3 linked regions of the Rhinolophus ferrumequinum genome follow. The protein of the gene in region 1 purifies or fractionates together with the protein of each later gene. This does not show direct contact. Links are inferred from orthologs where the notes say so. Each region holds a gene or a part of one and is shown in the gene's direction. Other genes may lie near its edges.

Region 1 (7,378 bases):
GAGAAGCACTGCTGTAACAGAACTAACCAGCTTCATGGTAATCACTGACATTGTATCTTCAGTGGGATTTTCGTCTTCCAGCTTTGCTGACTGCAACAATCTGTCCTCTGGTGCTAGAGAAATTCCATCCATTTTAAGATCAGAAGAGAACATTTCCTACTTGTCTACAAATCACTGGACAGTTTCCCTTCAAGTTTTCTGATTGCCAAAAACCTCATATAGGATGGAGGAAAACTGGAAGAAAATTGCAGGAGCTCATCATGCATTTAAAAATACAAAACAAAGTAGTATTTACAGTATGGCAGATATGGTGCTAGTGATACAAAGATGAAAATATAAGATCCTTGCCCTAAAAGCACTTGTAGTTGAGAAACAGTCAAACAAATATGATAGAATAAAGTACTACCACTGCTCTGACCACATAAATATCTTTTGAATTGAATTGAGGTAAAATAGGAAATATGTTGAAGACAGTAGCAGTAAATGCACATATTGATAAACACTGTAGGAATATTAAATGATGTCCACTACATACCTACATTAAAAAGCCAAGAAAATAAGCCAAATCTCTCAAGAACTGTTGAGCTAATGAACCATTCAAGTAAGCGATCTTTGTAGATTTCTGTGTCTCCTCTACCTAATTTAAATTCCATGTACTTAATTATTTTTCAGTTTCATTAGGGCATTTTCCCTCAAACTATTAATTTCGAGGAAGCTGCCATATATATGAATCAATATATTAAAGTGTATTTCTTTTTAAATCCTGACCAAATGTTGTAAAATACTTTTTCGGGATATTCCAAAACCATGCAATTAATTAATATGCTTTAATCTAACATTTACATTTTCTATTTAACCTTTATTTTGATGTCACAAAAAAGAAAATATTAAAGATAATTCATGAAATAATATTGGTAAACATTCTTACATGACAGGAAAGCAATACATATCATCCTCACTTTTAAAAATGACACCATTAGAACCACATCTTGCCATGAAACAACATTGTAAGCAACCTGATGATGCTTACCTGGGCCACGTGCTCTGCCATGCTCTGCCACGTGCTCTCCGTCATGGCAGAGCACGTGGTCCAGGTAAGAAGAGTGGGTTGGGTGAGGGCAGTGAAGCTGAGAGCAGGGAAGCCGTCTGGGCTAGACCCACTTGTCAGATGGCAAGGAATGGAGATGGTAACGGATAAATTGGGGTGATGGGTGTCTGGTGTTGATATCATACACTAGCCTAACAACAGCATATAGCCATCCAATTTCCTTCTTTTTTGCAGTAAAATTAGAAAGAAATCAACAAAAAGATGACACCTCTTCCTTTTCCCCTAAATGAGCTTGGGATATATACACAGGCAAGGACAAATAGCCAACAAGTATGTATATAAAAAAGAAGACATGAAATGGTCCAACAAATGCAAATTAAAACAAGAGTGGAAAAAAGTCATCCTCACGCTACTTTTGGGAGTGCAAATTGGTGAAATCATTTCTGAAGAATACTTTAGCGACACGATCAAAGCTCTTTAAGGATTCATGCTCTTATCCTAAGGAAATAACCAGACAGGTGTGGAAAATGTATATATGCAATGTTTATACAGCTTTATTTATGATAACCAAAAAGAGGAAAACTCTTTAAAAATAGAGGAGCAATTAAATGAATTATGGCCCATTCAACTGATGGAATACTTGTAGCTGTTAAAATAATTAAGTTTCAGTTGATTAACACCAAACACGTTCATAATTGCAAGTAAAAAAGGCATAAAACATACCTACATGTGTTGCGAGTGTGTGCACATGCGTGTTTCCCTAAGAATGTCTGGGAGGATATATGCCAATATGAAGATATGAGTGAGGTTTATCTCTGGGTGACATCTATGAATAATCTTTTTTTAAAAATCTATGAATAATCTTTATCTCTTTGTTTTCCCTATTGTAAAACTGTTTCTCATGTCCACATGTTACTTTCATTTTTTGTGTTTGGACCTCAAGTGTAGAGAACTGAGTATTAACTTCTTGGTTCATAGCATGCTATCATTATCAGTTTAAATAAGGCCCCTCTCTTGGTTTATTTTGTTTCCTTTTAATCTGTTTCATACACTTGACTAACTTTTACAATCAGAACTAACAATAAAGCTTATACAAGGGGAGCAATGAAGGAGCTTTACTCAGAAGTCTGTAAGAAGTGCAGCGCTGTCAGATTCTGGCTGCGCCACTGTCCAGGGACGAATTGTAAAACTGTTCCCCTTCTAACCTGGTGTGAGGGGCAGTCGTAGGAACATTCGTTTCTTTGTCCTTGGAATGTTTGGGTTATAACTCGTGGGGTTCTGACTTCTGAACTTTTGAGCTTCGTATAGTGTATCACCTAGTATGGTCATTAACAGGTGTGGAACCAAACAAAAAAACCAGCATCTTGGTTAGAATCTGCATGTTAGTTTGCTCGGGCTGCCATAACAAAGTACCACAAATCAGGTGGCTTAAACAACAATTTATTGTATCACAGTTCTGAAGGCTAGAAGTCCAAAATCAAGGTGTTGGGGGAGGCTGTGAGGGAGAATTTATTCAATCCTGTTTCCCAGCTTCTGCCAGCCTTAGGTATTCCTTGGCTTGTGGATGGCATTCTCTCTGTGTCTTCACGTTGTCTTCCCCGTGTGTATGTCTGTTTCTGTCCATATTTCCCCGTTTTATAAGGACACCAGTCATATTGGATTAGGGCTCGCTCTAATGATGTCATCTTGATTACCTCTATAAAGACCTGATATCCAAATAATCTTGGATCGTCTTGGTGTGGTAGAAATGGGCTTTGCAATTACACCTGGGTTTGAATCTTGGCTTCACCACTTACTGGTGGTGTAACCTGGGAAAGTTATTTACTCCGGGTTTGTTTTCTCATTTGTATAATGGGGATGAAATGTTTCTATGAGGATTAGACATACCCTAGAATGTACTGGATTAGTGGAGGCTGTTATTATCTGTGAGTTGGGTGGGGTCTTTGCTTTTATAGTTTAACTTCTATGAATAGATACATCAGTCAGTGGATGTGATGAGATTCTCAGATGACAGCAAGGATTCAATCGCTAAACCTAGTCAACACTAAACTGGCATCTGAACCAGAGTCCTTCCTGCCTATTTGTTTACTTGTTTTGGGCCAGCATAATTTATAGGTTACTTTTTAGGTGAAGCCTATTAAAACCACTTTACAGCATTTCAACCTGGACATGACAGTGACAGTTCATTGATCAATGTTGTGTAAGACTGTCACATGGGTGGGGGTGGGGCTGGCCCTGTGTGGTTGAGAGGGAAGGGTGCAGCCTTCTAGATATGAAGACCAGAAATCCCTTCAATTACTGCATGATTGTAAGCTCAAGATTTTGCCTCACCCTTATAATCTTCTAGATTGATTTGACTGAAGACAAGGGCCCATTTCTTGAGACACTGTCATATTGTTTCCAGGTTATCTAAAAAATTAATTATGCAAGTTTCCTTCATTACCACCAATAAAAATTTGACTCAAATTTAACTTCAGTGTTAAAGGTTGCTAATGCTCCAGTGCTTATGATAGAAGTGAAACTGGTGAATGTGGTGGGGGTGGGGAGCAGGGAGAAGAAAACCCCGAGTGGGGGAGGGGTTGGTTATATAGGTGGACGTGAGTCTGGGAGGAATTAAGGTAGCGATTTCTCACCTCAACATGGACCCTCTTGGCCAGTTTCTTCAAAACAATCGGGCTGAACGTGGACTTTAATTGCATTAGCAGGGCAATTTTGAAAAAGTCGGCAATCCAAAAGAATTTGTGAGTCATGGCAACTTTTTATACCACGGAGGAGAATCAGCCTGAAGTAAGCTTTTTGCCCGACTACTTTTTGTCTCATTTATTTCAGGTTTGGTCTGATTTCTTTCAGGGCCTGTGCTAATTTGAATGGTTGCCTTAAGTGTATCAATGTTCTTATCACTGAAGGAGGGAAACATTTGTTGGAAACCATTTAAAGCAAGTGTCTTTCCTTGAGTTACATAGGATAGAACCAGTATTTATTACAGGATTGTTATTCTTTACTAAGATTGTATCTGTTGCTACTGTATTTGTGAACAGTTTAAGCTTAAGAAAAAATTGATACGAACACTATTATATGATGGCAAAAACCAAACTTAGAAATCAATCAATAAATTAAGTGTCTTGGTGTAAAATAGTATCTGTTATCCTTTTTAACGTAACACTTAAGTGCCATTTTATTAGGCTTGGTACAAAATACAATTTTTAGCCAGTGGCTGTCTATTGATTACAAAGTACCCAGCACAGCATGGCTACTAGCACAGCTAGGTTTTAATGCCTGGGGGGCGGGGGGTAGGGACACATACCAACATTTAAGCAGAAAGGGTAGATATAATAAAAATACATGAAAGCCAGAATATTAATAAAGAATTGTGGGCGAATTCAGAATCTGGAAACTGAGATGGTACATGAAAAAGAAAACGGTGTTGGGCAACAAGGATACAGTAATAGGTCGTGTTAATTTAGGGGGTTATTCCGATCGAGAAGGCAGCGCCCAGCAAGGTGGGTAGAGGTCTGAAATAGGTGGGAAAGCCAGGGAGAGCGTGCACAGCCTAAAAAGTTTTTATGATGGTTCCGTCCACAATTTCTGAACGTTGGCGTTGGTGGCTACACAAACCGTGTGGCATGATTTAATCAAGGTGTCAGCCGCAGGGGCATCCCGGATTCGGGCGAAGCGTCCGGAATTCCTGAGATGTCTGAAACGCGGAGGCGGCCTCTTCCCCACCCCCAGCCGCGGCCTCCGTGGGCATTTTCCGGCGAGGGGGGCACGCGAGCCCTTCCAAGAACAGTTTAAACGCGCGGACGTGCGCACCCTGGCTGCCTTCCCTCGGCTGGCGCGCTACCGTGAAACGAAGGTGAGAGCCCTGGGCCAGGGCGCGCGGGGGTGGGCTTCCGGGGGTCCCCACGCGGCCGCAAAGCCCGACCCCCCTCCCCCCGGCGCGGGCGGGGCTGCGGGCGCACGACGCGGAAGCGCAGGGCTCCGGGGGTGGCGGCGCAGAGGCCGCGCGCGCTCCTCTGCCCGCAGTCGGCGCGGGCGCGGGGCGCGGCCAGGCGGCAGGGGAGGCGGCAGGCGCTCGCTTACGGGCCGGGCCGCCGCCTCGCCCCCCTTCCTCTCCCCTCCCTCCGCCCTGCCATCCTCCTCCTCTCCCTCCCCCGAGCGAATCACGCGCCCTCCTCTGACACTCGTAGCGGGCCCGAGCTCCGAATTTATCCTTCACGTGACCTGAGGGGGTTGGGTGGTTGGTTGGGTACGGAGGGGGAGAACTAAAGGAGGGAACGGAATCTGCCGTTGCCGGAGCAACAGGCCCCGCCCAACGGCTTGAGCCGGGGGGCGGGAGGAGGACGTTAGCACGTCAGCCGGGGTTTTGCGTTTTGATTGACAGTTGCTATAGCGACCGGGTCGGTCCGTCGCCATTTTGTTGGTTGGTTTTTTTTTAAACCCTTTCGCTTCCCGCCCGAATAATAATAAAAAGCCCCATTGGAGTGAGGCGGGGGTGGCGGCGGCAAGAGCGGCGGGGGGATCCGGGGAGACTGCTGCCGTCGCTGCTGCTGATCGCGGCTCAGGTCGGGCTCAGGGAGCGGACACCCCAAACGGGGGGTGCGGGCGCCGCCGCCGCCGCCGCCGCTTCTGCTGCTGCTGTTCCTGCTGCTGCTGTTGGTGCCGCTGCCGCCGCCGGCGAGCGGGCGGGACCGGTGTGAGTGTGAGAGTGTGTGTGTGAGTGAGCGTGTGCGAGGGCGAGTGTGCGTGCGTGTGTGTGTGTGAGTGTCTGTCTGTCTGTGCAGGGACTCGGGGGCGGGCGGTTCGGGCTCTCCTGGCGGAGGAGCCGCCGCCGCCGCCGCCGCTCGGGCCCCGGCGCTTCTCGCTGCGCAGGTTTGGAGCGCGCGCCATTTTGTGAGATTTACAAAATCCTCCTCGAGAAGAAGCCGCCGGGAGCGGTCGCGACTCGGCGCCCGGCCTCGCCGCCGCCGCCCTCCGCGCCGGGCCGGGCCGCGCGGCCCCGCCGCCGGGAGTCGGGGTCCGGGGACTGCGGTATTTGCCGGGGAGGGGGCTGTCGCCTCCCCGGCCCCGGGCGCCGCTGGAACCGCGAGCCGGAGAGAGACTGAGAAGGTTGCGGCTCGGCCGCGGAGCCGGGAGCGCCGGGGGCGGAGAGCGGCGACCCGGGCGGCGCTGGCTGCGGAGGCCGCGGCGGGAGCGCAGCGGCGGGAGCCGGAGGCTGAGACTCACCGGAGGGAGCGGCGCGAGCGCCCCGCCATCGTCCTGGTGAGTGTCCGGCCGGGCCGCGGCCCCGCCCGGCCCGGCGCCCGGCTCCCCCCGCGGCCTGCAGCCGGGCCCGCGCCGAGGCCGGCCGGGCGGAGGGAGGGACCTGCCATTTTAGGAGGAGGCGCCGCGGCCCGGGGCTGGCCGCCGGGGGAGGGAGCCCGACTGGCCCGGTCCCGGAGGAGAGGCGGGTGCGAGCGGAGGGAAAGTTGCGGAGGGTGGGAGCAGGGGCCGCGGCCTCCCGGGAGCCGGGGCCTGGGGGCTGGAGAAACCGCCAGACCTTCACTGGTCGCCCGAGCAAAGGGGAGGAGGTTGTCTTCCTCCTCCTCCTCCTCTTCCTCCTCATCCTCTTCCCCCAGCTCCTCCCTCGTCCCTCCTCTTGGTCCCCTCCAGTGTGGGAACCGCCGGGGTTCTCCGCAAGGACAATGTACGGGTTAAGAAAATGGGGCTGGCTGCTGGGCGAGGCGCCGGGGAAGGTCGGGAGCCGGGTGCCTCCGCGGCCCTTTGGGGTGTGTGTTGGAGCGAGGGCACTCGGCGGGCTCTGAAGTTGTGCCGTGAGTGCAAGTGATCCCGGCCACTCGAGGGGGAGTGATGACCTGTTTAGCAGCCGGAGGAATTGGTGGTTGAGAATTCGTAAATTATAATTGATATCTGGGTATTGCAGCAAAACTTCACAAGTCTATTCCCAGATACAAAGCTACTCTCACTTAGATCCACCGAAACTGCTGAATATCTTAACACTTAGCGAAAGGCCCCTCCCCGAAATAGTTAAAAATGGCAAAATCAGTGAGTGATGGACTCCAACTATTTGGCTATGCCTTTCATCCAACCCTCGATTATAAGAATATTGTAATCTAGGTTCCTCACTTGAATGTGAGCACCGTTTGGTTCTTGAATTCCGCCCAAATTGTCAAAAAAAAAAAATACACCTTAAAACGTTGTTTTCACACTGATTTAAAAATTTGGACGAAGAGCGCCATTCATTATTCTCAGAGCTTTATTTACATAAACAAGCTTATCCTACTGGTAGGAACTGTTACCCATTTCACAGATGGGGAAATTGCTGTGACTCAT
Region 2 (7,347 bases), on another chromosome or scaffold:
AAAGAAGAGATTTTAAAACAATTTCAGGAGCTCAGGATATTTATTTTTAATTTTTATCCAAAGTGAAGCAAACAACGTTTAATTTTTAAAATTCATTTTCAATTCTGTATCAGTAGCCAGTTTCGGAAATTTCTCTTATTAAGTTATAGTTACATTAAATTATTTTTCAATGAGAAATGGATTCTACGTCCATGAATTTCTTATGTGTGCAGTTTATTTTCACTGAATAAAAATTCAAAAGGTTTAGTGTCTTCGTATTTTATATGTGAATACCACTGAAGTTTGATGGCTTTATTGCTTCATTTAGCAGTTCATGGTTTTAGCATTTTGCCATGAGTTATGGCTATGAAGTCAATCGCGGGAGGTTTATACTTCTGAGTAAAATTAGTACAAACACTTAAGTCTTCAATTCTTTGGGATCACTTCTCCAGTCATTATTTGGTTTACTACTATTATTACTAACCTGCTACTGACATGTTTTTTCTTGGCGAAACAGGACAGTGAGGTTTACTTTGCCATTTATAATTTAGGGTTAAATTAAAACAAATGACACAAATTTTACTCCCCTATTTAGTTATGAATTTCAAAAAAACAGGCTGATTAAAAATTAAAATGACTATAAAAATTGTAAGAGTAAATAAATAGATACGTTTTCACTCACTTTTGGGTTACAGTTGACTAACCTTAAACTTTCTTTCCTTATAGTGGTCCTTACTATAGCACATGACAAGGACACAGACATGCTACCCGCAACTCACCACACAAGTCACAGAACACCTGAACTGTTCTATACTCTGTCTAATGAGAGGTGTTCAATGATCATGTGCTTGGATAGTGATGAAATGTCAAATTGCAATAAATGCTGCTAAGCATTTACTCTTAATTTCTGCACATATCTCCTTCTGGACCAAATGCAAGCAGTTTGCAAACTGGCACTGGTCCAAGGACCACTAGTAGTGCTGCTCTAGGGAACCTGCACTGAAGAGACTGGGAGGAAAACTACCGTGTTTCCCCGAAAATAAGACCTAGCCGGACAATCAGTTCTAATAGTCTTTTGGAGCAAATATTAACGGAAGACTGGGTCTATAATAACGTAACATAACATAACATAACACAACACCACATCTTATATTAATTTTTGCTCCAAAAGATGCATTAGAGCTGATTGTCTGGCTAGGTCTTACTTTCGGGGAAACACGGTAGTGGAGGAGTGTCGTAAGTAACAGAAGGGAGGAGGAGAACAAGCAGACCATGGATTTTTGGAAGACTAGGGAAATTTTCAGAAAGAGGAAGTGGATAACTGTGTTAACTGCCAGAAAGGTTAAGTACGTTGAGGACCAAAAAGAAGCCATGACTTGACATTTAGGACATCGGTGACCTTTGAAAGAGTGATTTCAGGAGAGTGCTGGTAGTGGTGGTAGAAGACAGTCAGGCACTAGAAGGGAGACGTTTGGGGAAGTAGAGAACGAATGGGGACTACCCTTTCAGCAAGCTAGATGGTAAAGAAATGGAAACAGTGTGGTACCTTATGAGTGAAAAAAAAGTCGAAGGAAGAATTTTTAGATGAGGGGAAAAACTATTGACATCACTGAAGGGGCCTCAAGCTGGAAAAGTTCCATTCCAGGTAGAACATCTAAGACAGATCTTTATTTGGTCTTAATGGCAATCTTAAAACTACTATGCAAATGGAGGAAGATCAGAGGAAGCTTCTTTTAAGAATCTGCAGAATTTGTATTACTTCTTTGGAAGTGCAACAGAAAGCTGTGTGGAGATGCAAGGATTTTGATTGACTCAGTTGCTCCTGAGCTGTGTGTAAGGATTCTAAATGTAGTAGGGAACAGTGAAATTAATTCATGGTAAAGATACACACCCTTTTGTAAATTGAGAAATCCCTTTTTGATTTATCATAATTGTGGTAAAACCAGATGTTGATAAACTGAGATTAATAAAGCAAGTCTTATCTGCCTATGAAGAGCATTTACTCCAGTCCCCAGAACTTTCCTGTGCTCTCCTGCCCTCCCCACTTTTAGCAAACAAGCATTTACTGTGTGTCCAACACCGTGATAGGCACTAGGGCTACAATGATTTGGTCTCCATCCTGAAGGGGCTCATTAGAGAAATAGTGTAACTTACGATGCTTTCTGGTTAAATCAGAGGCTCAGTTATGTTACTGAGGACATACTTTTTTTTTTTTTTTGACATTTCTACTGTACCATCCTTAACATTTTTGCTTTATTCTCAAGTCAGCTTGTCTTACGTCACAATGGCAGCAGCAATTGCAAGGGTCGCATCCTCATAATAGTTAAGGAGTAGAAGAACTGTGTCATCCTGTATCTCATTTTAGCAGGTTCTTAGCAGACTATCTGTGACCTTGGAAAGACCAACTGCATCCTGAGCTCCTGCCTACACTAATCTTGGGCAAAGTGAACAGGATTACCATTTTGACGGGAGTTGCTGTATATAGATGGGGCTGGGCATGGATCCTACCTCTTGACAGACTTTTGGTCCCCACGTGAGGGTTTCTGATCTTAGGCAGATATCGCTGGCTTACAAATATACTTTGGCTGTTGAGTAGGCTGAGGACTGACAACCCCTTTTAAATATTGGCATACATCATGGTATACACAGAAAATGGGAATTCATTACCATCTACTCACTTCTGTAATAAACCCAAGAGGCTTGTAGCCGTGAATTGCCTGAAGGTTTCTGCTGCCTCAGCCCTGCTCAGCTGTTCCAAGGATGAGAGGATTCACATCAGAGCACACTGTGTCTTATTCACAGCACCTCAGCTGGGAAGTTCTGGCGAGGCAATCCTCACCATCTACCAAAGAGAGAAAAACATGTACTCAATCTAGACAATCTATTACAGTAAGTATACACCAAGTGACAGAAAAGACACAATTTCTAAGCCATTATTTGATGGTGGTAGTTCCAGCAAGCTCTTCTTTGTTGTCTTTGTGCGTTTGCACATGCTGCTTCTCTCTTTTTGGTGTTTTATCAATGCAATGTAATGGATGTGTAGAGTCAAATCAACCTGGATTCAAATCCTCTGTCACCCATCAGCTCTGAAATATTGGGCAAATTAACTTCTCTGAGCCTGTTTCCCATTGGGTAAGAGGAGTAATACTAAGCACTACTCGTTTTAAAGGATTGTTTTTGAGTATTAAGTAAGATAATTATGGCCAGCACAACCGTGGTACCTAATGTTAACCAATAAAGATTTCAGGCTGTAAAACAAATTAAATGTTTATTCGCGGGTCTTAAAAAAGAATTCGAATCTGAAAGACCCAGATTCAGGTAGCAACCCAAAACGGGCTCTGGACAGAACAAAGAGATAGGGTTTATAAAAGCAAAACGACAAAGTGTAATTCTTTCATGCAAATAGAGGATTGTCGGGTAGGTTACAGGGATTGGTTAATTCCAATATGCAAACGATGGAGGCAAGAAACCGAGAAGGAAGGAAGCTAAGTCTATATATATGTCTATGTAGCAGTTACTGTTCCAGGATGTTTATGGGTGGGCCTTCTGCTGAGTTTAGCAACAGGTTTAGCAACTTAATCGCAGCTCTGAGAACTGAAGCACAAGATGTGTAGGGTCCCACATCCCTAATAGCCTCCTGACTATTTTACGTGACTCTCTCAGCAATGCTCATTCTATTTAATATTTTCCCCATTATCAATACTAAGCCCTCCTTAAATGTTAGGTCTCCCTGGCAAAATTCTACTCAACTCCCACTGCTCCTTTGAAGATGTCCTTTACACAGTTTGATGGTGCCTCCTGTTTTTACACCACTATTAACACATTTATCACACTATAATGTTATTTACCCACAGTCCCCCTCCGTTTCTTACACGTGATCCCTAAAAGGCCCGTAATTGTCCTACAATTCGTATCTCCTAGTGGTTGGCAGAGTTCGCTCCCATTAGATGTTCCATAAATGTTTTTGTTTTGGCCAACTTTGCTTAACGGATTGGGCGGGAGGAGTGCGGTGGAGACTGAGGGTGCCGCCCACGGAAGAGAGGGGGGTGCTCGTAGAGGGTGCAGTAGCCTGATATTCCCGGGAGGGCCTGAGCGGCACCCCCTGATCCGCCCATAGATGGAGATGCGGCCCAATCTCCCCCACCAGACTGTGCAAAGCCCCGTTACCCGCACCCATGCCTGGAAGCGGGAGACAGGTTCAGGCGGCGACTTCGGGGAAGGCTCCTGGACGCAAGCCCGGACTCCCCGCCCAGCCCAGCCCGCCCGACCTCCCGTCCCCACCCAGCGCAGCACCAGGCGCCCCGGTTCCCTCCCGACGCCGGCGGGCCCGCGAGCTTCGCGGACGTGACGCCGCGGGCGGAAGTGACGTTTTCCCGCGGTTGGACGCGGCGCTAGGTTGCCGGGCGGGGGAGGGCTTGTCCGGTTTTTCTCAGGGGACGTTCAAATTATTTTTGTAACGGGAGTCTGGAGAGGACGGGGCGTGACCCGACGTGCGCGCGTCCTCCGTCCCGGGTCCTCCTCGCCGCTCGCTGGCTCCTGCTCGGGCAGGGCGTCATGCCACCCAAAACCCACCGGAGAGCAGCCGCCGCGTCCGCTGCCGCACCCCCGGCGCCGCCGCCGCCCCCTCCTGAGGAGGACCCCGACCAGGACAGTGGCTCCGAGGACCTGCCTCTGGCCAGGTGAGCGAGGAGAGCCACTGCGGCGGCCGACGCGGGAAGGGCGCCCCGAGGATGCGTCTCGGCGGGCGCCGCGGCGTCTGGCGGGGGCGCGTCTTCGCCGGGGGCAGGGTCCCGGCGGAATGAGGGTCCCTGCTTGTCCCCCACCGCCGCGGAGCGCCTGGAGGCGGGTGACAGGGGCCTGGGATCGGGAGCGACGGGAGGGCAGCCGGGAGGGGTCTCGGCTCCAGCTTGACAGGTGTCGGGCGGGTGGGGCTCGGGTCCCTGAGCGAAGTGACAGGTGCCGCCTTTCCTCCGCGGGACGGGAGGCTCGCAGGCGGCGGGTAATTTAGAGGCCCCATCAAACGGAAAAAAAAAAAAATAGTGTCTGGTGGAGAGTTTTTTCCTGTTGAGATTTGTAGTACTCCGGTGGTCTTAGACTTTCTGTTTTGATCTCCTGGGATGCAACAGTTGGAAGTGTTTTCCTCTGGGCGTGCAACTCCAGCTCAAGCCCAGTTCTGGGAAAGGCCAACCAGAAAAGCCTCGGACGTTGCTGCAGAGACGCCATTGGACGTGAAGTTCAGGGTCCTGAGTGTCAGTTTGCCTCCAGGGTACTCGGCTGAGGTGCTTTGTACGGTTCTCCTATAATAATGCCTTGAGGTCTTGGGGATACAGAGCCATCGTAGTGACTGCTGGAACGTAACTTTAGAGGAAATGGTGTATGGGCAAAAGTCTTGTGAGACATGTAGTCTAAGTGCTTAAAAGGGTCTAAACTTTTTTTCTTTTTTCTTAAAACTGAATGTGAGTCAGCTTCAGCATGTCTCATTATTTCTTCCATTTTGCCTCTTGGCTTTGAGCCAGCAAAGGTCCTGGTGTTTCCCCCCTGCCCTTTTTTTGTTTGGTTACAAAATTTGTGTTCTTGTGCATACATGAAACTTTTTTTCCTAAGTGGAATTTAAATTTAAGAAAGTCCATGATATTGCAGTAGAACACGACAGGAAGATATTTATTGTATTGCAACATCTTATTTTTCTTGATTGTGGTACTCTGTGGTTAAGAAGTTAAGATTGAAAGAGTATAATTGTCATTATTGGGGGCACTGGTCCTACTTTCAGACTACATGTCCATTGCAAGCAGTTGGGACTCCTTTCTGTCCCTCACCACTCCCTCCCTTGTTCTAGTCCATTGCCAAGTCCCATTTCTTTCACCTCCCCAGACACTAACAGAATTCAGGCCAAATTGTAAAAGATTGGAATGGGCTTTTGGAAAGGGCCCGTGAAAGGCTATTAAAAATTCATATATTTCAAAAGACTGTCTTATGGGTCAGTTAACATCATACCAGTAAAAAAAAAAAAATTCTGGGGATGTTCTGGGGGAGAAGACATTATTTAGCTTCTGATTACACTGTGATGTATCCAATACTTGAAAGTTTCCCTTTGGAAAGAGCAGTCAAGTCTACTTTACTAAAGTGTTCCATGTTATCCACAGACCTTTGGAAACAGTCTCGATTATTGTAAGGTAACCAGAAATATTGAAGTTCTGGCCATCACCTCGGACTTGGTTTCTTTTATTCTTTTCAACACCTTGTTTTGCATACCTTTAAATGATGGAAACTCATTGTTTTTTCAACACCTTGTTTTGCATACCTTTAAATGATGGAAACATAAATTCTCCTGTAAGTCAAAACCATACAAGATACAGTTTGCTTTTGATTATCCATACACACAAAAGGTTTCATTAGCATGGGCAATCGAACTCTATAGATGAACTACTTAGCAAGGATAGCACCACTGTCTGGCAGTCTGCAGCCAAGAAATTTACTTAGGGATGGATTCGAGGCCCAGTCCAACTGCACTTCCAGTGACAGAGTCCATTTCTACCTTGACAGTTGAGATCCTTCTTTTACATTATCTCTGGCCTGAATGATGTAGTTGGGAGGGAAACCCTCACCAGTAACTGCATGTTATCTTCATTGTTGAAATAACCAAAGTTAATTATGTCTTGAAGGATGGTTGGCAGTCTGGAATAGTGCTCAAGGGAGTGGGTTATGAAGTTAGGCTATTGGGTTTATATCAAGTTTTCCTACTTACTGGCTGTGATGTCAGGTGAGTGCTTTAACTTCTCTGATTTGGTACTTACCTGTAAAACAAGGATAGTAAGAGTAGTTACCTAATAGGACTAATGTGGGGATTCAGTAAAATTATGCATCTAAGCTGCTTTGGTGGGGTCATGGTAAAAACTCAAATTGTTAGCTGTTCCTCATGCTATTATACATGCATTACTTATACAGTATTATACATACTATTAGTATACAAAATTATTAGAGCTATTCCTCATAATATTAGATGTCAGATAGACATTAAAGGAATGAAAAGGAATTAGCCAACAAGAGTTTATTGACTGCATATCTTGGTTAAGGAAGATCTAAGAGCAAAGGCTGAAATGAACTTAGCAATAATTTGTGTCAAGTTAATCATCATGTAAGAAATGTTAGTAGGTGGAGAGATTATGTATATGAAACATTGATAAGTGTAGACTGTATTTTAGCAAAGTCACTGATAGTGAATTGATTCTGTAATAATGGGCTTTTCTCTTGTTGTTATCCTTATTTTACCAAACAGCTTTAGCTCTTGTGTTCACTTCACAAAGCTATGATCAGGCCAGCAAACATTTTTCACTGCATGGCATCCTTATTTTAGAAAGACTATGAAAA
Region 3 (7,983 bases), on another chromosome or scaffold:
GGGTCTGAGGGTGTCTCGGGGTGAGCGCTGTGACATTAGCGTCACTGACCGGGCGCTTCCAGGAGTCTTCCCCACCTCAGGTTGCCGGGGCCCGACTTCCTACCAACACTATGTAAAGGATGACAGGCCAATTTTCCTGTCACAGACCACCTGAAACATCTGCCCAGCTGTTTGCACTTGTCTTTCAGGAGAAGGCAGTCAGCCGTTGCCACGGGGAGGGTTCTCTTTCCTGTTGGTGGTTTGTCCTCCACCCCCTCCCGAGGGATTAGCCCCAAAATCCTGCCACGCTGTGGGGGACGAAGCCACCATCAGAGCTTCAGGCCTGGGGGGTGGCTCTGGCTCCCGTTTTCTTTTTGGCATTGGGCGGAGTTTGCCCAGAAAAAGAAATACAAGTGACAACATTCTTGTAGCCCTTCTTGGAGGTGACATCCCATCACTTCTGCATTCTGTCATTGGAATGGCCAGCAAGTGAAGCCCAGGCTGGGGAAGTGACGGCCCAGGTGTGAGCAACAGCGGGGGGTAGGGGTGGTGGGGGGTGGTGTCTGGGGCCCATGCCGCCCGTCTTTCCAAAGAGCCAGTTTTTGGTCTTGTGACTCCTGGGTAACATGGGCTTTACTCCCTAACTTTTCATCCACAATCATGTCTTTGTTTCAGCCTTTCTCTTTCCGTGGGTTTACTCTGCAATTCCTCATTTCTTGAGTTGGACGTGAGATGCCTCTTTCCACCTTCCTTATCTCCCACAGTCCACACACACACACGTCCAGGACAGAAGCTCCCTCAAGTCTGGCTTGGCTGCCCCGTGGACATTTCCATGTAGTGTTTCTTTGTTGTCGGCTTCTAAATGCTTTAAACTCATTTTTTTGAAGCATGAGTCAAATATAGTTTATGGCTCTACATTTCCAAATGTTTGGTTCTATTATCTTAGTTTTATTGTCATTGCATTTGGTTGGAGAACACGATCAATATAGGTTTTTGGTATTTTGCTGGGACTGGTTTTGTGGCCGTGTCATGTAGCCATCGTTGGTAAACATTCCATGTGCTTGAAAATGATGAGTTCTTTAATTTGGGGGTGCAGGGTTTCTGGTCCTCAGTCTGCACACCAAAACCGGTGTCCCCACCTGGGCCAGTGGGGACAGCAACCTTCCTGGCTGGCGTTGCGTGCAGTGATTTGGAACGGACTTTTGCTCCCACACATGGCCAGCCCAGGAGACACCAAGTTAAATTCACAGCCATGTGTGGAGCCCCAGGAAGAAGCATTTGTTCATCCAATGCGTTAGTGATTCTTTGTGGATGTGCTTGTCCCGCGTGGCGCTGAGGCCGACACCACTCAGTGACCGGGGCCTGGCTTCCTGAGCTGGGTGGCTCTCCAGCAGCTGGAGGGCTGGCTGCGTCCTTGGCAGGGCAAGTGGGCACTGAGCACCTGTTTGCAGGCACGTGGCCGGCCCCAGGTGCAGGAAGAGGATGAGCAGGCCACCTGCACAGATGCAGGTCGGCTGTTGGCGCCTCCCAGCGGGCAAGCCGGGTGCAGAGCTGTGCCTGCAGAGAGCTGTGGCGCTAGTGTGGCCAATATGGTCATGCCTGGGTCTCGGAGTCACAGCTGTAGTCACGTGTGGGGAGCACACAGAGTTCTGGGGCTGCAGCCCCAGTGCTGGAAAGCAGCGCTTGGGGACAGTGGGACGGGAGGTGGTGCAGGCACCAGAGGAGCCAGGGAAGCAGTGACGAGGCCTGCTGGCTGGCTGCATGGTGAGGCTGTGGGAGGCAGAGCTGAGGGAGGTGCTGGGTACCTGGCCACGGTCACCTCTCCCTCTTGGTTGCACCTGTGAAATTCCTTGGAGCTCCACTGCAGCTGCAGAATGAACTTGCGTGTGCAATGGAAGAAGTGTGAATTCTGGCCAGGTCCCCTGCTTCTAGGTGGTCCCATCTGTTGCACACTCAGGCATCTGACAGCCGTTCCTGCTCAGCAAGTACAAGTCAGAATGTGAGTTGTGGGTTTCTCCCCAGCTGACCCACCGGCCCCGGGTCCCTCAGCACGGAGCATATGGCCTGATTCTAGCTGTGAAGAATGGAGTGGCCAGGCCCCCTCTGTCCCAGCCCCCTGCAGCCTGGTGGCAAGTCCTCCAGGCCCTGCCACCTTCAGCTGCTGCTGACCGTTTCCGGAGGGGGGGTTCCCAAGTGGGGTCTCTGCCCTGTGCACCCCACCATTCACATCACCCCTTCTGGCAGCCAAGAATAGAAGCCAAGGCCCTGACCCTGCTGTCTCTCCATCTCCTCCAGCTGCAGCCCTCTGTCCCTTGCACCCACGCCAGGACTTTGAGTTTGCTGCTCCCTTTTCTGGAATGTTCTTTTCCCAGACTTCTGTAGGTATGGCCCTCCCCCATCAGGACTCCATGCCTGTCCTCTCCTCCACGACCCCACTGGGCCCCACTGTCAGGCCCGTCAGCCCCAGTGCTCAGATGACCCCTCCGGGGTCTCCTCTCAGCACAGCCCCAAGCCAGCATAGGGGGGCCAGTGGGCCCACAGGACACCCTGGGCCTTGGTGGTGGTGACAGTGGGAAGCCAGCAAGGGTGCCTTGTCCGAGCATTGTCAGTGCCACTTCAACTCAATGACAAGCTGGATCCTAGGCCGCCTCTCAACGCCACAAGAGAGACGGGTTGTTTTGCAGTGGCCATGACGCTCCCCCAAGAACCACTGAGCGAACAGCACTAGCGTCTTACAGCAGCTGATGGGGTGGAAGCGCTGCATGAGCTCGCACTGATTGCCGGCTTACAAACCGTTCAGCTGTCTGGACAACATTGCAGACGACCCAGAATGACTAGAAGACAAAGGACCTCTAGTTCTCCACGGAGAGAAAAGAAAAATATTAACTTCTGGTGTTGGAAAAATTCTCGCATTCCTTAAGGAAAGAAGTGGGGATGCAGGTACACCACCTCTGGTGACCTGGAGGGAAGGTCCGGTCTCTTCTGGAAAGGAGAGGCACACCGCGGTAGTCGTGGGCTAGACTCTGTGGCCACAGTCTGAGCTTGCTTCATGGAGGCAGAGCTCAGGTACCAGGCGCTTCCTGGGCACAAACCCAGGTCCAGCTGAAGACCAAAGGGTGGGGGCTCCTTCCAGATGATCTCTCCTGGGAGGGGGCAGCTCCACCAGGAGGTGACAGCTCAGTGGTGTCAGGCAGGGCAGAGATGGGCTTCCCCTGGCCTACTCACCTGCCTGCCCCAGGCTGTCTGCAGGCCAGTTCTCTGAAGGGAATTCAGGGGCCTCAGGACCACACACACAGGTGTGGGGACAGTGGAAGGGTATCTAACTGATCCCTCGGTATCTAACTGATCCCTCGGTCCTGTCCCAGAGGCTGTGGCACCGCTGGCCAGGAGGACCGAGGAGGCATGCACGGGACGGCTTGCTCAGAGCCATGCATCGATCCTTCCTGTGGCTCCACCGAGCAGGTTTCCACCTGGAATACATGTGGCTGGGGGAACAGAGACCCCTGTCCTCGGGAGTGGGCAGTGCGGTAGGAAGACAGCCCAGACTGAGAGGAAACCCCTGTACTGGACACAGGGTAAGGAGGAGGAAGTGGCCATGGGAAGAGCAGGGGAAGGCAGCAGAAATGGCGTGTGTGGTGGCCCTGTGACAGCCGGGAAGAAGGGCCATGTGGCTGGAGAGTGGGAGGTTAGAGGGAGAAGGGTGCAAGAGTGGGGGCTCTGGCTGTGACAGGAAGCATGGATTTCCTCTGTAGTGCGACGGGAATCCTTAAAGGGTTTTGAGCAGGGGGTCACAGTCTGATCTACATTCTGGGAGCAGTCACAGGGGTGAAATGATGTGGGAGAGCCTGCTCTGGGCAGCTGTGAGATGGCAAGAGCGGGTAGCAAGGGGCAACCTAGATCTCAGCACAGGAGGTGCTAAGGCAGGACAGGAAGAGGGCCAGGAGCTGGCTCAGGCCAATGTTTGGGGAGTAATCTTCTGAGAAAATGGGGGTGGGGGGTGACACACACCCTGGTCTGGAGTTTTGATCTCTCCCTCCTGGTTCCTTTTGAATCTGCATTCAGAAAAGTTCCCTAAGAGGTTTGCCACATGCTTACATCCCGCTTTCTCATTTCTCCATGTGTTCCAATTAATCCAATTTGGAAGGTATTTTTACAGGTGAGTACTAAGTGGGAGTTTAAAAGTACTTGTTTTCCAAGTAGATACCCAGTTCTCCGTCATCCTTTGTTGGATCCCCCACATTTCCTCACTGATGTACGAATTATAAAAGCGAAGACAACAGGACTGATTTCAGGGTGGCCACGCGGCCTGCAGAACTGCACCAACAGCTCAGTGCCGGCCACCGCAGACGTCAGGGTGCCTGGGCCTGCGGCTCTGGCCTGCGGTTCCTCCGCATCACGGATCACCTCGTCTTGGGGACCGAAAACTCCCTTGAGGGCCGGGGTGCCCTCTGGACTTCTGGAACTAAGCACCAGTCACTCTCTAGGGCTGGGGTCGGTGTCCAAACAGGCTGGGGTGAGGACTCCGCTTCAGTCACCCCGGTCACCTCTCCGAGAGCCCCAGCCCAGGCCTGGGAAGCCCGTGTGCTCTGGCTTCAGTGTCTCAGAGCTGGTTCCCTTGCAGCAGACTAGGAAAGCTCGTCTAGGAACTTCCTGTCCAGGCCGCCTCGCCTGGGCAGGCGCAGCCCGGCGGCTGCGTGTGCGGGGCAGGCAGGTGTGCAGGTGCCTGAGCGGGGCAGGCGCGGCCAGCGGGAGTGAGCATCGAGGCCCGGCCTGGCAGATATTGGTGCAGGGCAGGTGCGGCGCGGGCAGCCTGGCTCCGGGAGGGGGCGGGCGGGGCGGGCGGGCGCGGCCTGCAGCCGCCCGCGTGGTGCTGCGCGGCGCCCGCGCCGGGAAACAGGAGGCCGCTGGGCCGGAAGCCCCGCCCGCGCGCGCGCGCCTGTCCCCGCCCGCCCGGTGGAGCGGCTGCTGGCGCGGCGCGGCGCTGCTCGGCACGGCGGCGCCCGGGCGCAGGCGAGCGGGCAGATCAGCGGACGGCGCCCAGGCCGCCCCAGGCGCCGGGCTCGCGGCGGAGCGCGCCGGACTCGTCGAGGCCCGCGGCCGCCCGCGCCTTTCAATGGGCAGCTCGCACTTGCTCAACAAGGGCCTGCCGCTCGGTAAGGCCGCGCGCGCGCATTTCCGGCCGCGGGGGCGGGGCGGCGGGCGGGGCCGCCGGCTTTGTGTGCGAGTGCGCGTGCGCGCCGGCGTCCGCGCGCCGCCGGGCCGGGGGCGGGACCGAGGGCGGGGCCGGGCCGGGGAGCTCCGAGCGCGTGCGCGGGCTGCTGTGTGCGAGTGCGCGTGCGCCGGCGCCGCCGTCACGCCCGCCGCCCGCGCAGGTGACACAAAGGGGCGCCGGACCCCGACCCTGTGGACCCTCGGCCCACCGGCCTATCGCATTCTGGCTCCGTGACTCCCAGTCGGACCCCCGGATCCTGGCTTCCCCAGACCCACGGTGCCCAGACCGCGGACCCGAGGGTCCCACTCCCCCGGACCTCCCGGCCCCACAGACCCCAGATCCCAGGCCCCGGGTTCCCGGTCCCCCACCAGACGCCCGGTTCCCCAGATCCCCGGTGCTCGACCCCGACCTCAGACGTGCGGTGCCCAGCGGGAGGGCCCTCGGCCCAGTGTGTCCTGCTTGGGCCACAGGTCTTGTGTCAGTGAGACGGGCTCCGCTGCTTCGTTTAAGTCACTTCCTGTTGTAAATACTCCCCCAGGGCTTCAGCGGGCGGGGGAATGTCACAGACTCGGGTGGCGCACGATGAGATCAACTACACGCAACTTGCTTTGAAAGAAATGAAAAGCTCTCGCGTGTCCTGAAGATGAACTGCGTTTTGGCCCAGTGGGGGCTCTGTCCCTGCCCTTGGGGGCTCCGCGGGCCTGTCTCCTGTGGAGGCGCCGGGGGCCGCCAGGGTCTGCTCGCCAGCCGGTGGCCAGGATGCGGATCTGCCTGGGACGGCGAAGCCCTTAAGCTGGAGGGTTTTCTGTGGGGACAGGCGCTCGGCAGGCGTTTCAGTGGTGCTTGCTTCTGCAGCCGGCTCTGTACGGCCTTTGGGATGTTCCGTCCGTTTCTAAAAATGTATAAAATTATAAGGTCTAGCTGGTGGGGAGGGCAGCCCTTCCCTCGGTGGCTTTCAGCGGGACAGCTAGGGCACAGTCCTGTGGCGTCCTCGTGGTCACAAAGGGGGGGCCAGGGGCCCCCACACAGCAGTGCGGCCAGAACTCAGCACACTGCACTCCCTTCCTTGAGCCAGTCGTTTCCACCTCAATAATTCAAGAGATTTGGACCCAGTTCTGTTTGTCACAAGGCACCTGCCCCCCTTGTGTTTGAAAGATGTCAGACAAGGGTCCTCGCTGGTCTCTGGGCAGCACGGGGGAGGGGAGCCCAGGGCCTGGGCCTGTGGGGGAGCAGGCTGGGTTGGGGACCCCCTCTGCTGGGAGCTGGCCTGATGGTGGCCCCATGCCTGCTTTCGCATCCTGCCCGGCTGCCGGTGGCCATCTTGCATGTGCTGCAATCCTTGTCAACTTCCAGCCAGCGTGGGCTGGGGCCTGCTCGTGGGAGGGGCTGTGCGGTCTGCACGTTCTCCTGCACCCTGTGCCGGGTCCGTCAGCCCCTGGCTTCCTCTTCCCAGCCCCCCTGCCCCTCGCGGTGCCCTTGGAGCCCACAGAGTTTGGCACTGGGGGCCTGTGGGAGGGAGGGGCTGTGACTGCACCTGAGCCAGTGGCTGGAGGCTGGAGCTTTCTCTGGCTGGTGCCCAGGCCTGCCCTCTGCCTGCCTGCTGAGAAGCCAGGGTGCTGTCTCTGGGATCCCCAAGGGACCAAGCCGCGGGAACCTGGCAGGGAGCCAGACCCTGCACAGTGATGCTCCCTGATAGGTCAGGACAGACCGACCTTCGGGTTGGGGGAGGGGAACCGCCACCACAGAGAGGTGCACAGCTTGCTTCTCCTCTGGTGAGCTGACTGAACTGCAGGGTCAGGTCGCAAATGGGGGCCCAGGGCCTTTTCTCCCCATTCTCCAGGACCCCTCCATTCTCCTCTTCAAAGTAGCAACTTCATTTGCATAAAAACATACTCAGCAGAAAGCCAGCCCCCAGCATGTGGAGCCCACCCACCCTTGCGAGCTCCTGTCACATAATCGGGGGACCTTAAATGTTTTCTGAGCAACCCCAGACACTAGTGAGCAGCTCTCTGTAGGAGAAGGCCTTTGGAGTTCAGAGGTAGGTCTGTCCTTGGCCCCCCACCAGTGCTTGGTGGGGGCTTCCTTTGGGCCAGCAGTCCCCAAGCAGAGTGTTGGGCCTTGATGGGACTTTTCTCTGCTGACGGTTTGTCACCTGTCCTTGGAGTTTCCTGTGTGAGCAGGCGCTGGGGATGTCCTGTTTGAGTAGCAGGGCCCAGCTCGTCAGTGCTGACACCTTTGGCCTCAGCCCTGCTGTTGCCGAGACCCCCTTCCAGGTGGGTCCTGTGGCTGACAGGGGCGTCAGAGGTGTGGCGTCCTGAGCTTTTTATCTGGTAACAGCTCTCCTAGAAGACTCAGTTTCCCCACTGGTGGCATGAAGGAGGACTGCTGGCCCTCACTCTGTGGGTCGCCTGGCTCAAAGCCCTGGGTGGCCCTGCCCCCAGGACAGGAACTCACACCCCAGGGCAGGGACCATCCCCTCCAGAAGCTGAGCTTCAGACCAGCCCATGGGCCACGCCCTAGCGTGGGCCTCCTGTGGCCGCCCCTATAGGCCCGGGTCTTGTGAGAGGAAACATCCATAATCCTGCAGACCTGGAAAACTCAGGGGCCTGTCACCACGCGGGACGACAAGGGGTGGCTCTTAGTGCTGTTGTGTCTGCCATGTCATCCTTAGGCAAGTGGTCCCTTGTGTCCCCTGTCAGCCCTGGAGCCAGGGTGGGGGAGGGTGACAACCTGATGGGACTGGAACCTGGGACCCTTCTGAAGGAATCCCAGCGGACCAGTTAATGGTGGGG

Evidence for each region.
Region 2: the proteins of DYRK1A (region 1) and RB1 purify together in Homo sapiens (affinity purification with mass spectrometry; 4 studies listed by BioGRID and IntAct, with this or other methods). This does not show direct contact. The link is inferred for Rhinolophus ferrumequinum from reciprocal best matches to the Homo sapiens genes DYRK1A and RB1.
Region 3: the proteins of DYRK1A (region 1) and CTBP1 purify together in Homo sapiens (affinity purification with mass spectrometry; 4 studies listed by BioGRID and IntAct, with this or other methods). This does not show direct contact. The link is inferred for Rhinolophus ferrumequinum from reciprocal best matches to the Homo sapiens genes DYRK1A and CTBP1.

Annotation. Positions count from the first base shown.
Region 1 is NC_046285.1:102,489,919-102,497,296, forward strand, and holds the start of DYRK1A (dual specificity tyrosine-phosphorylation-regulated kinase 1A), read left to right. Parts: upstream 1-4,337; 5' UTR 4,338-4,901; intron 4,902-5,259; exon of another isoform or gene 5,260-6,307; intron 6,308-7,378. UniProt on the Homo sapiens protein: Dual-specificity kinase which possesses both serine/threonine and tyrosine kinase activities. Exhibits a substrate preference for proline at position P+1 and arginine at position P-3.
Region 2 is NC_046287.1:89,098,359-89,105,705, reverse strand, and holds the start of RB1 (retinoblastoma-associated protein), read left to right. Parts: upstream 1-4,347; 5' UTR 4,348-4,533; coding exon 4,534-4,658; intron 4,659-7,347. UniProt on the Homo sapiens protein: Tumor suppressor that is a key regulator of the G1/S transition of the cell cycle. The hypophosphorylated form binds transcription regulators of the E2F family, preventing transcription of E2F-responsive genes.
Region 3 is NC_046288.1:87,554,080-87,562,062, forward strand, and holds the start of CTBP1 (C-terminal-binding protein 1), read left to right. Parts: upstream 1-4,983; 5' UTR 4,984-5,092; coding exon 5,093-5,132; intron 5,133-7,983. UniProt on the Homo sapiens protein: Corepressor targeting diverse transcription regulators such as GLIS2 or BCL6. Has dehydrogenase activity. Involved in controlling the equilibrium between tubular and stacked structures in the Golgi complex.